3 linked regions of the Cricetulus griseus genome follow. The protein of the gene in region 3 interacts with the protein of the main gene of each other region in a biochemical or structural test. Links are inferred from orthologs where the notes say so. Each region holds a gene or a part of one and is shown on either strand. Other genes may lie near its edges.

Region 1 (4,012 bases), about 120 Mb from region 3:
TCAGAGCAGGACAGCTTCCTTCCTTCCACCTCTCCTCCTAGGATGAATGTTAGCTGCCTGCAGCCCTCCTTCAATCCTTCAGAGTGGGCTGAGGGAGACTCACAAGCCCACCCAGCTCGAGTAAAGGAAAATCCTTCAGTGCCTGCTAAGTCCCAGTGATCTGACCTGGCCTCTTTCCCTCCCTATGTCACCTCCTGCCACCCTCCCTTAGTCTCCAGCCTCACTGCTCTCCAGCCCCTCTGTTCCTCGTTCCTTATCCACCAGGTGATTGCTGCACAAGGCCTTTGCTCCCAGTTTCCCCTACCCTACTCTCTTACCCTGGACACTCTTCCCAAATGCCCACTTTCCCAATCCCACTACCCCTGTCAGCCAGTCCTTCTCTTGATTCACTCTTCCTTTCTTCCCAGCAACCCCCTGACCATATACTTTACTTCTTGCCCCACCTGTCTGCTCTGCTGGCATGCCCGCTCCAAATATGCCCACTGTCTCTCCTGTCCACGGGTACATCCCAAACACACACAAAGGCACACGTCACTATTGTTCAAGAAATACTTGTTAAATGATTGAGGGTGGCAAGAGTACAATATAAACTAGTTGAACAGATAAATGAATGAATTTCATTGCTTCACTGAGGGACAGAGGCACAGGAATGTGGGGGCAGATGCCTATGCTCGAATAGCAGAGCACTGGGCCTGAGATTAGATGGTAATGTAGTCCCTAAATCCTGAAGAGTGCCACTTGCCTTTCATGGCAACCTTTCCCCTTCTAGAGCTGTGTCTGGGAACCCGAGTCTCCCTCGCCTAAGTACCTTTATCCAGCCCACAATTTCTCAGCCATTACTGGGGAGAGGCAGAAGAAAAGTGAAAGCTAGAGAGATGGGGATGAGGAAAGGTATTGAAAGGAGGGGAGGTGTGAAGAGAGAAGAGAGAGACAGAGGTAGAGGTATGAAAATAAAAGATGAACAAGAGACAGGAGGAGAAGAAAACCAGGGAAAGAATCAGAAAGCCTGAAGCAGGGAGAGATGGGACAGACCCAGAAAGGTGAAACCCCTAGGCAGCCTCAGCAGGGTGTGCCCCAATCCTTCCCAGAAGCTGATCTGCAGGCATCCAGGCCTGTGACTGTGTGGGGTCTCCACAGCCATGGCCCTGCCTCACCCTCCCTTCTGGGACCTAGGGAATATTGACAGGTCTGAGTATTGCTTGCAAAGGAGAGCGTGGCCCAGCCTCTCCCCAAACATTCCCCTAGGGGCCCTGGGAGCCTTGTCTTCTCATTAATATTTATCAGTGTTGGGAGTGTGAAGAAGCCACAACTGGCCAGGGTGTGATAATTGTTAAAGTAAGGGGAAAAAAATGCAGACCACTCCATCTGAACCAGCAACTCCAAGCTAGAAGCTAGGAGCTCCATGTTTCTCCAGGAAACCAGAGAAGTGAAAACCCTGTGGCTTCCAAGTCACAATTACCTCCAGCCCTTGGTAGCCTGTGCTCTAAGGAAAAGGAAAGATCTCACACCCAGGCAGGATAAACAACTGAGAGAGAAAGCCACTCTAGTGGCTGCCGGGAAGGACGAGGCACACGTGGGGCCAGGAGGAGCAATATTCACCAAGCAGCGGAGAGAGGCAAAGGGGAGGGGAATTAAAGCTCTGCCGAGCAGCTCATTATTTCTCATAGTAGAAAGGATAGTCTAACTCCCACTCCACAGATAATTAACTGGAGGCTCCAAGCGATGCATTAACTTGCCCAGGAGCACAGCAAGCAAGGGGCTAGGTCGGGACCCAGACTCACTTCTGACTGGGCCTCCAGAGATTGGTGCCTTAATCCAACCCACTGTTTCCTAAATCCATGTTTCAAAACGGCAGGAAGAACAGACAAGAGGGGAGGGAGAGAGGGATAAATGAAAGGTGACTGGGGTGAGGGGCAGAGTGGGGCTGAAGAGGGGCAGGAAGCACAGCCATCAGTGGGGAATGTCCTGCCACTACCTTAGTCAGCACCCGAGGCCACCTCCTTCAGGAAGCCAGGACTCTTGTGGCTTCCTCAAACAACAAGAGCAGCTGCCTCATTCTCTGTCTGTTTATTATTCCCCACTCATGCCTTTAAGTACTTTTCCCAGGACAAGGCTCTTCCTGGACAATCCCATTTCAAAGATGGAGACATTGAGGCTCGAAGAGGCACCCACGAGACTCAACCACTCCATCACATAGCCAAGCACCACCACTCAAAACTCCACTCACTTCTTGCCCCAACACTGTCAGAAAAGAGGCTCTATGGGGTATTTTCCGTTTCCACAACCCCACGTGTGCAACACCGCATAGACCTCTCTGCCCGTGGCCTAACCTAAGCCCACAATCCCAGCCAGCCTTGCTGAGCAGCTGCGTCTGTTCACCCCCAGCCTTGCCTGTGCCCCACAACCTGAGCCTTAGTCACAGCTGGGTTCCCCAAAGAGAAAGACCAGCAGTGTCCTTCCTGGTTAAGGTTCAGGATAGCTCGAGAAAGAAGAGGAGGTCCTAATAAGGAGGCCAAAATCTCACGGGAAGGATGAGCAGGCAGGATGCGCTGGGGCCGGAGCTGAGAATGGGGACGCCATCGGAGCCTCAAGCCGTAGCTCCCTGTCTCCACCGCTCCTTCTGGGGCTGCTGCAGGGCCTCCTGGCTGCGAGGCTGTCTGTGCGGCTGCTCCATTGTCTCTGTGGACCAGCGCGCCCCGCTTACTCAGGGATTTTTCTGCTCCTCCATCCTTTGGGCTCGCATGTGACTCACACTCCAACCCTGTTTCTACCCTGCCTCTCACTCAGCTTCCCGCTGCTAACTGACTGAATGGCCCAATTCCAAATTCCCAGGAGAGGAATCTGATTGGTCAGCTTTGATTAGGTACCCCACCCCCTGGCCCAATCACCTGTGTCCAGGACATAGCCTGTGGTCCATGAAGCATGAGCAGAAGAGGCTCTGGAGATTAGTATTGTCCAAACCAGAGGTTGCAAGTCACTGGTTGATTAGGAAACCTACTTAAAACATTACAGGTCGGAGAGCTGGCTCAGTGGATAAATCGCCTGCTTCACAAGCATGAGGACTTGAGTTCAGATGCCCAGTACCCATGTAAAAGCTATATGTGGCAGGCTGCACCTGTAACCTCAGCACTGGGAAGGCAAAGATAGGCAGATCCCGGGGGCTTCTGTGGCCACACAGTCTGGCCTACATAAAGAGCTCTGGGTTCACAGAAAGCTCCATGTTTAGTGATGGGCCCTGTTTCAAAAAATTAGGTGAAGAATGATAGTGGAAGACATCCATAGTTGACCTCTAGCCTCTACGCACACATACACATACAGTACGTACATACACAGAGATCCTTTTTTTTGAGGCAGGGTCCTGGAACTCAAATACAAACAAGCTGGCTTCAGACTCACAGTGATTCTCCTGCCTCTGCCTCTCAGGTGCTGGGATTAAAGACATGCGCTCCTATGCCTGATTATATTTTGAGGTTGGTTGTTTGTTTTCAAGACAGGGTCTCACAAATGTAGCTCTAGCTATCCTGAAACACACTATGTAGACCAAGCTAGCCTCAAACTCAGAGATCCTCCTGCCTCAGCCTCATAAGTGCCACTACACCTGGCTTTATTTTTTGATTTTTAATGAAATGGGATGGACTAGACTATAGAAACAAGTGCTACAGGCAACAAAGATGTACTAGATACTCCCTACAGGCACCAGGATTCCCTGAGGCTGGATGTATGGGATGCCAGGCATCTTCCTTCCTGTGGAGTTGGACGCCCCCCTGTGGCTTATTCTGACCAATGAAATGCGGGTGCAAATGTCACATGCCACTTTCAGCCAGAGGCACAGAAGGAACCATCCATGGGTCCCCAAACCCTTCAAGCTCATTTTCTGTGGCTGCTATTTACAAAGTCCCACGAATTCAGTGGCTTCAAACAACACAAACTTAACTAGAGTTCTGTGCTTCAGAAATTCAAGTGGGCTTCCTTGAGCTAAAATCAAGGTGTCAGCAGCCCTTGATTACTTCTG
Region 2 (4,066 bases), on a different chromosome or scaffold from region 3:
CCCCCAGCAACAAACTTCTACCAGTCAGGCCTCACCTCCTAAAGGCTCTATATGCTTCAATTTTGGGTCTGAAGCCAGGGTCTAAGCACCCCAAATTTGAGTCTGGAAAGGGCATTTTACAATAATCATATTTTCCTTGTTTTTATGTAGTATGTTTTAAAACACATATAATACTCTTTAAAAACACAGACATTGGACAGTGGCATGCATCTAATTCCACCTACCTGAGGATGCTAAGGCAGGAGGATCTCTAAAGCCTAGGAGTTAGAGGCCAGCCTTGGTCACAGTAAGACACTTTCAAAAATATGCACAATAAAAACCCATAGACATTATATCCTAATTATTAAAATCAAGAAAATAAATCACCAAGGAATTGAACCCTTGTTTTTCTACAGCCAGTATTTTACTTAAGGCCCCAAACTCAGCATTCTAAAGAAAGATTCAGAAAAAGAATAGACATTATTGCAATGAAGGAAAGTATAATGCTAAACTAGGAAAAGAAGAATTCTAAGGAACTAGAATAAAAATATTAGAATGCTGAGGAAAAGAAAGGAAGGAAATACCCCTAGTTTCTAAGAGCAATTATATACATATTTGGATTATATTTGGTTAAGTATTTAGAATATTCCATACATACAAAATACAGTTATGTGTGTTGTATATGGGTGTCCACTGATGCATACATGTCAGAAGCCTATAAAGTGGTTTTGAGAGCTTTTTGTTTTAAAAGGTAGAAGTCAGGCTGTGGGTATAACAGGTCATAGCAGTGCTTTGATATGTATGTGCCATGCCCTGGGTGCCCTAGTACCAAACATACATAAACACAAAAATGGTGTAAGACTACCATCTGATGGGGAGGGCTCTTTGATTGATCTAACCTATAGGATATTTTTGAAACTAATGTACCAATTTCCTGGTACAGGCTTTTCGGAGACTGACAGCTTCCATTTTCTGCCTGAAGGCCAAGCCACACAAAGAGGCTGTATGTAGTTATCATTCCCAGCTGCAACTAACATCAACAACTATCCAGATGAATGAGCAATCTTGAAAACCAGTCCAAGTTGAACTTTCTGATAACTCTAAACTCAGTCGATTATTTTTGTAACAAAATTAAATGCAAACCTTCTGCTTCTTGACTGCCATAAGGTGAACAATTTCTATGGCATACTCTTACCACCAAGATACTCTGCTTCACCTCAGACACAAAACAATGGGTCTAACCAATCTTGGGCAGAAGCCACTCAAACTGTGAGCCAAAATAAGTCTTATTCCCTTTAGAAAATTAGGATACTAAGCATTTTATGAATAAAGTTTGATGTACTGGTTTTATTTTACAGCTGTCTTATTTACAAAGCTCTCTGGATTCTATCCCATTTATATTATCAACAAACAAAAGATCATAATGATTAATAAACTTCAAGCAAATAAATCAACAAGTTAAATAAAAAAGACACCTTTAAATATTCTTGTTAGTTTTTCTTATTTCTATCTACGAGCAATTATTCATAACTGAAAGGTACTTGCAATTCAACTTTAAAAGACGAATCTAATATGTAGTCAAAAGATCAGGAATATACATTTTCACTATCTACAATAATATGGCATAATTAAGATATATCCTAATTATTAGTTATAATTAAATGTAATTAAAGAAGCATGAATAGAGTCACTATCACCATATTGGCACGGTACTCTATAGATGAGAAACTACCTAAATCCAGCATGACTGACTGACTGACAACAGGGAGTCTTAAACAGAAAGAGTTGAAATGCAGCAAAACCTACTCACAAAGCTAAGCAGCAGAGGTCTTTTAAAAAAACAACACGGGGAGCTGAGTGTGGTGGTGCATGTCTTTAGTTCCAGCACTCCAGAGGTGGGGGCAGGTGTATCTCTCTGAGTTCGAGGCCAGCCTATTCTAAAAAGCGACTTCCAAACAAGAATTGCATCCTTCAGTTAGGTAGGCATTATTATGATCCGTAACCCTAGAGCTTTTAATAAATATTAAACTCCTTAGACTCTGCAACACCTCTGTGAGTCAAGTAAATATTTCTTGAATGACTGACTTGGTCAAGGTCACAGAGTAAACTGAAAACAAGACCTAAACCTAGGAACCGGGTCTGCAGCTTTGTAAGTAAATGAACTGCAATCTGGGGTTCTGACAATTCCCTCAGGACATACGAGTTGAAATGAACTTGACTGTGCCACAAGTCTACAATCGAAGGCACATCTTAGGAAAAGAAAACCCCCTCTTTGAATAAGTTTTAAGTGTGAGGAGTCTGTTTAATTCACTTCTTGTTCTTCACTAAAAACTTGCGTGACTAGGTCACAGTTATTAGGAAAAACATGACAAGTTGTTGTGGTCAGGCCTGGGATTGTAGGTAGCACAAAACCAAAACACAGAAGCAAAAGGAAGAAGACCAAAGTCGGGTCTAGTGTCCAAGAGAAAGGAGAACTGGCCAAGGCCACCCTCTGAGACGGGCAACCGTAGGAGGACAACGCGAGAGACCAGGAGTGCGGGCCCTTGCTGGGCCAGCCAGTTGTCTGGGGTTGTCCCACCCCTCCGCGGACGGGGCTCGTCTCCCGGATGACCAGCAGCTGGCGGACGCCATCCCCGGGAACCGGGGCCGGAGCCTGGACGCACTCACCGCAGCGCCCGCGCTCCGCTAACGCCGGCCTCCTCGCCCGACGCCCATCGCCCACCACCCGAAAGAGAACGAGCCTTCGCTCTCAGACGCAGGCCTGCGCAGCTCATCCCTCTTCCCGATTTGCCTTGCGTGGCGACGCGTCGCGTCTCTAGACGTCACGGCAGAGGCGGGGCTTCCAGTAGCCCCGTAACTCCTCCCTCTGCTTCGCTGGGAGGGACATCGGGATGGCCTGCTCTGGAAGGGCGAGCGAGCGCCGAGCAATCTACGCATGCGTAGGAGGGGCGGTTTGCCCCTGTGTGGGACGGAAGCGCGTGTCGGGTATTTCCGGGTTCCTTGCGCCTCTCATTTCCGAGGGGTATCAAGTTTGACGTGTGTCATTCTGTGCCTTGGACCTCTCTGCGGAGTAAGCAAGGATATTCTAGAACCTCTTCAACTGTGTATTTTTCTTCTCAGGTCTGAAATTAGGGGGAAAAAAACGGGAAGGGGATTGATACCTCTAAAACTTGGGAATAAGCATCCTCCAAATCCAGTCCTCTAGTTAAAGAACAAGACATGTTCGGAAAACATTGCAGAGACTCAGTCAACATCTCCTAAAGACCCAGTCTTACAAAGCAGGGGTCTGGACTTTGGGGAGAGTCTACCTAAGCACTCTTATGGAGAAAGGATGAGTTACTCCGATTATCTGTGTACATAACGTTGCTTAGGGTGGAGTTGTTGGCCCTGGTCAATAAATCCTTAGGGACAGCCCAAATGTTTAATGCATGGAAGTACACATGTCTACTAAGTGTATAAAGTAAAAGTACTTACCTAATAGGCAGTCATTAACCATAAAAAGTAGTAAGTGTCCAGTCCACTAACGGTGCTTCACATACAGCCTTAAAAAATAACATTTGTGTTAATTTCCTTTCCAGTACAATTAGGCACATGTAAAAAATATTCTTGTATTTCTACTTAAAAAATCAACACTAGCTGGGTGGTGATGGTGCACGCCTTTAATACCCCAGCACTCTGTAGGCAGAGGCAGGTGGATCTCTATGAGTTCAAGGCTAGCCTGATTTCCAGAGTTCCAGAGCTCCAAATCAAAACAACAACAACAACAAAAATCAACACTATATTGCATACTATTGGTTTTTCACCAACATGTAAAGACTATTGTAATAAGATAACATTGTGGCTGGGCTACAAAGTGAGAGTTAGGACTATTACGCAGAGAAACCCTGTCTCGAAAAACAACAGTGACACACAGATGTAATCCCAATACTTGGCAAGAAGATCAGGAATTGAAGAACAGCCTCTGTTACACAGGAAGTTTGAAGCCAGTCTGGGCTACATGGGACCCTGTCTCAAAAAAAAAAAAAAAAGTAAGACAAAACAATATTTTTAAAACTATGCATTTACTGAATGCATATTCTATGCCACT
Region 3 (4,284 bases):
TAGCTCAAAGTCACACTGCTGTTAAACAGCAAGCCTGATAACTTGAATTCAAGCAAATCACTCCAAATTCTACTTAACACCAAGCCTCCTAAGGCTCTAAGAGAACAAAGTGCCAAAGCAGAAGAGGTTTTATTACTGAGCCCAGGCTGCTCAACATTTAGACTGGGGGTGGGGGAGGCAAAAAGACTAAAAAGCTAAGCAGAAAACCAGAAAAAGTTGTGACCTAGAAACTTATGGATAAAGAACAGAAGAAAAAATTTTTAAGGCCTCAATTTAAAAATGGATGAGGAACTGGTTTTTTTGGAATTGGTAAATACAAATAAGCAGGGAATTTGATGGTTATCATTATAGGTCAAACTGAATTTTTTAAGAATCCATGTCTAGCAGTTTTAACATACTTTCAACTCAACATGCATTTATTCGATGACTATGTAGCAGCTAAACAAGGATCAAAATAAAGAACACAATGATATCTAATGCTTGATTTAGTACAGACAAAAAATGGTAAAAATTGTAGGAGTTTTGGGAAGGTGAAAATCACAATAGTTCAGAAACACAAAGTATGTAAACACCCTAAGAGACAGTAAACAACGCCTGAAGACTTCCAAAATCATGACTGGCAGTGAGATTCTACTGGCATCTACTGAGTAAAGGGCAAAACCAAAGCTAACACTCTTCACTGTATAGAATATAATCCCTTAAGAATTTTATCTATTCCAAACTGCCAGTAACGTTGTTACAAGAAACTCCAGGTTGCAAGAATCAGCAAATAATTCAAGTTGAACAAGTTGGATTCTAAACTGACCTTAAAGCACAAGGGCATGTAGAAAGGCAGATTAAATAATAGAAACAAAAACATAAAAGTAAGAAGGGGCCTGTGTTTGAAATGGATGTCATGGGTAGCAAGAACAGGTTTTTTAACACTAAGAAATACGGGCAGTGGTGACTCATGCCTTTAATCCCAATACTTGGGAGGCAGATGCAGGCAGATCTCTGTGAGTTCAAGGCCAGCCTGATCTACAAATCTACACAGAGAAACCCTGTCTCGAAAAACAAAACAAAAAATCTATCTGAATCCAGTGCAAATGTGGGCTCAAAAAAAAAAAAATCAGAAGGAACACCAATATTAGGCCCTGAGTTTCGTTCCCTACACCACAAAAACAAACCGAGCCAATAAACGAGACTGATTAGCAGGAAGCAAAATGACATTACAACTAGATATAGGAGCAGCTATAGTGAAACACGCCTTTAATTCCAGCACTTAGGAGATGCCTGTCTCAAAACAACAACAAACGAAAAACTAGATATAGGTATAAGTGCTGGGAACAGAAGCACCAAATATCATTTTATATTGATACAGTACAGCAATGCAATGGTCTTCATGGTTGTATATAAAGTCAATGAACACTGTGTTCTGTAAGTACTGGTGCTAAGCACTTAGTAAACACAATTTTCCAATTCATTACTTATTTAGCATTATTGATGATTTCTAAAGTTCCATCCACTGCTCAGATTCGGGACATTCATTTAAATCGCTATGAACCAATCGGTAAGTGGCAGTAATAGGATTTCCAGTGCGACGTTATAAAAAGTTCTAAGAGGAAAATTTAAAATTCACCCCTCATAAACAAAATTCATAAAGCCACTCTAACAAGTTATTCTTACATTCTTTTACTACTGGGATTGTTAAAATCAGTCTTGCAGGCTTGGGGATATGGTATTGGTTTGCTTTCATTCTACACTTTGTTGCTAGCGTAGTCCTGCATGAATTCGTCAACCCAAAAATTCTCTTTCAAGAAATTCAAATGCCATTATTACCTTCAGGCCAGAAAGAGACAGTTAACCTGTTTAACTGATACGATCGATTTCTAATAATAATGATTCAGAAAACAACAAAAATGTAACATTTCAGACCCCTTTCTGGATGCAAAATCCTTTTCCCCACTTCCCCAGGGCAGAGAGGCCCGGCCTGAGGAAAGCATCCCAAAGGTTCACGTCTTCTTGTGTTCCGGTTGTTGCCAAGTAGCGTATCCTCATCTCTCCCGATATTTCCATCTACCCGTAACCAGACCTTTCTCCTCCAGGGACCGATATAGGAGCTATTTAACACCACCACCCCCCAAGTAACCTCACCTAAAACATTTTGCCAGTTCCTGGAGCTTCCCATATGCTTTCCATTGGGCCAGGCAAATACTTTAGCGATGGGGCTTATATTCAACCTGCTCAAGCCAAGATGCGCCCCAGCCCTCTGCTCTCCTCCAGAAGCCGAGCCCCAGCGGCAGATGGCTCCGTCGGCTGCTCCTCCCGAGGCAACCCGTCACCCCAAATCCCTGAAGCAATTCCCCCGGAGCCCCCCGAGTCCCGTAGCAGGGCCCATTAGAGAGGTTCTTAGACCCATTTCTTTCCAAGAGGATGAGCCGAGTCCCCGAGCTTCTCCCGACTCGGAACGAGGGACCCCAGAGAGAAGAACGTGGGCTCGGCCTTGGAGCCCAGAATGGATGCGTGGGGTGGGGGGGCGCGGCGTGGGCTCGCAGTCCCGCGGGCGAGGAAAACACTTACCGACATCCTGGTCGAAGGGATTGGTGGCAAAGAGAGGCATGTCCGCTGCGCGCCGAGGTGTCCCCGGGGACTGCCCCTCGACACCGCGGGAGTCAAGGTACGACGGAGAAAGGAGGCCCCTCAGGTACAAAAACAGCGACGGCGACAGCCTACACAGGATCCTCCTCAGCCCCTCCTCTCACCCACCCCCGGCAAGAGAGGCGGCGGCGGCGGCGGCGGCCACAGCGGAGAAGCGGCACAGGCCCCCGCGCGCGCGGGGCGTGTCGGGAAGCGAGGCGACCTAAGCACTGCCTGCTCCGAGTCTGACGAGAATCCTGCCCTTCCGCCGCGATGCACGCGACGAGACCCCTTTCCGGCTTCCTCTGTTGATCTCCCACGTGTCGGTGGGATTAGAGGCTGTGTTTTCGGCTTTTCCATTGCCCGGGAGTCTCGGGAGGACGAGGTCCTTCAGGCGCGCCGAGGCCGACTAAGCACCTCTGGAGTGATTCAGACACTGGGAAAGAAAGAGGCTTCAGTGTGGGTCCAGCCAAGCCCTTCGTTTTGACTCTCAGAGTTTATTCGATGGGTTGTTGCACTGTTGTAATCCCTCTAGAAGGTCAGACAGTCCTTTGGGTTATCCGAGTAAAATGTTCAGTGAGCCTGTCTGAGGGGACGAGGAAGTTGCTGGGATGGAGTCATGTGAGCTGGTGGAACTGGCTTGAATCCCTTGGAGGGAGTGTCAAGGCGCGCAGCCTCTGGAGAGGCTGAGGTAACTAACGCTGGCTCCTTCCCCAGCCTGAGATCTGAGGGAAGCTTTCCGGGTGTCGGCACCGACTGACTAAACGTGCAGTCACTGGGCCGCCTGAGCGATTAGTCCTCTGCAGCCCGAGATAACCACACACACCCAACAGCAGGAAAAACAAACGAAAAATGGAGCCAGACATTGATGGGGACTCTTGGCAACTTAAAATGTTGATTTGGTGATCTAGTTTGTACATTTGTATCACACACACACACACACAGCCCTCTAAATCATGTGGAAATCTTAGGGATCATTTCTTGGAAATATTACGTAAAGTTAGAAAGCTCGTCTTGCACATACAGTGAAATTATGTGAAGGATGCCCAAATAGGAACACATAAATGTAGCCTATAAACAGATATATGACAACAACAGGATTGGTATGACAGTACAAAAAAAAAAAAAAAGCTTGCTTACAAAACTGGGTTTAAAATGAAGTCAAAATTTTGAAGAGAGATAAACACATTAAAGTAGCGGGTAATGTTTTCAGTCATTTAAAAACAAAAAGAATCTCGAGGGCGGTGGTGGTGCACTATGGCACTCTCCTAAGGAGGCAGAGGCGAGCAGATCACATGAGTTTGAGGTCAGCCTAATCTACAGAGCAAGTTCCACGACAGCCACGGCTACAGAGAGAAACCCTGTAAAACAAACAAAAGATAAAAGGATCCAAGGATTGTAATGATATATTATTTATGATTTTTAAAGCTTGCCTGCGGATTTAGAAAGCAAAGCCAGTCACAAGCCATAGAGACCAGACACACCTTTAATCCCAGCAGCCAGAAGCTAGGGGGTGGTGGTACACACCTTTAATCCTAGGACTCAGGATTAAAAGATAGAGGGATCTCTGTGGGTCCAAGGCCACCCAGATCTACACAACAGTGAATCAATCTAAAAGAGAATTATAGCTCACACCTTTAATCCTGACATTAGGGAAATATATAAGAC

The links.
Region 1: the proteins of Stam (region 3) and Arrb1 form a complex in vitro, tested with the Homo sapiens proteins (2 studies listed by BioGRID). The link is inferred for Cricetulus griseus from reciprocal best matches to the Homo sapiens genes STAM and ARRB1.
Region 2: the proteins of Stam (region 3) and Usp8 form a complex in vitro, tested with the Homo sapiens proteins (2 studies listed by BioGRID). The link is inferred for Cricetulus griseus from reciprocal best matches to the Homo sapiens genes STAM and USP8.

The regions. Positions count from the first base shown.
Region 1 is NC_048596.1:99,980,191-99,984,202, forward strand, and holds the start of Arrb1 (beta-arrestin-1), read right to left. Parts: upstream 2,803-4,012; 5' UTR 2,581-2,802; coding exon 2,525-2,580; intron 1-2,524. UniProt on the Homo sapiens protein: Functions in regulating agonist-mediated G-protein coupled receptor (GPCR) signaling by mediating both receptor desensitization and resensitization processes.
Region 2 is NC_048599.1:51,808,544-51,812,609, forward strand, and holds the start of Usp8 (ubiquitin carboxyl-terminal hydrolase 8), read right to left. Parts: upstream 2,803-4,066; 5' UTR 2,647-2,802; intron 1-2,646. UniProt on the Homo sapiens protein: Hydrolase that can remove conjugated ubiquitin from proteins and therefore plays an important regulatory role at the level of protein turnover by preventing degradation. Converts both 'Lys-48' an 'Lys-63'-linked ubiquitin chains.
Region 3 is NC_048596.1:218,589,729-218,594,012, forward strand, and holds the start of Stam (signal transducing adapter molecule 1), read right to left. Parts: upstream 2,805-4,284; 5' UTR 2,600-2,804; coding exon 2,560-2,599; intron 1-2,559. UniProt on the Homo sapiens protein: Involved in intracellular signal transduction mediated by cytokines and growth factors. Upon IL-2 and GM-CSL stimulation, it plays a role in signaling leading to DNA synthesis and MYC induction. May also play a role in T-cell development.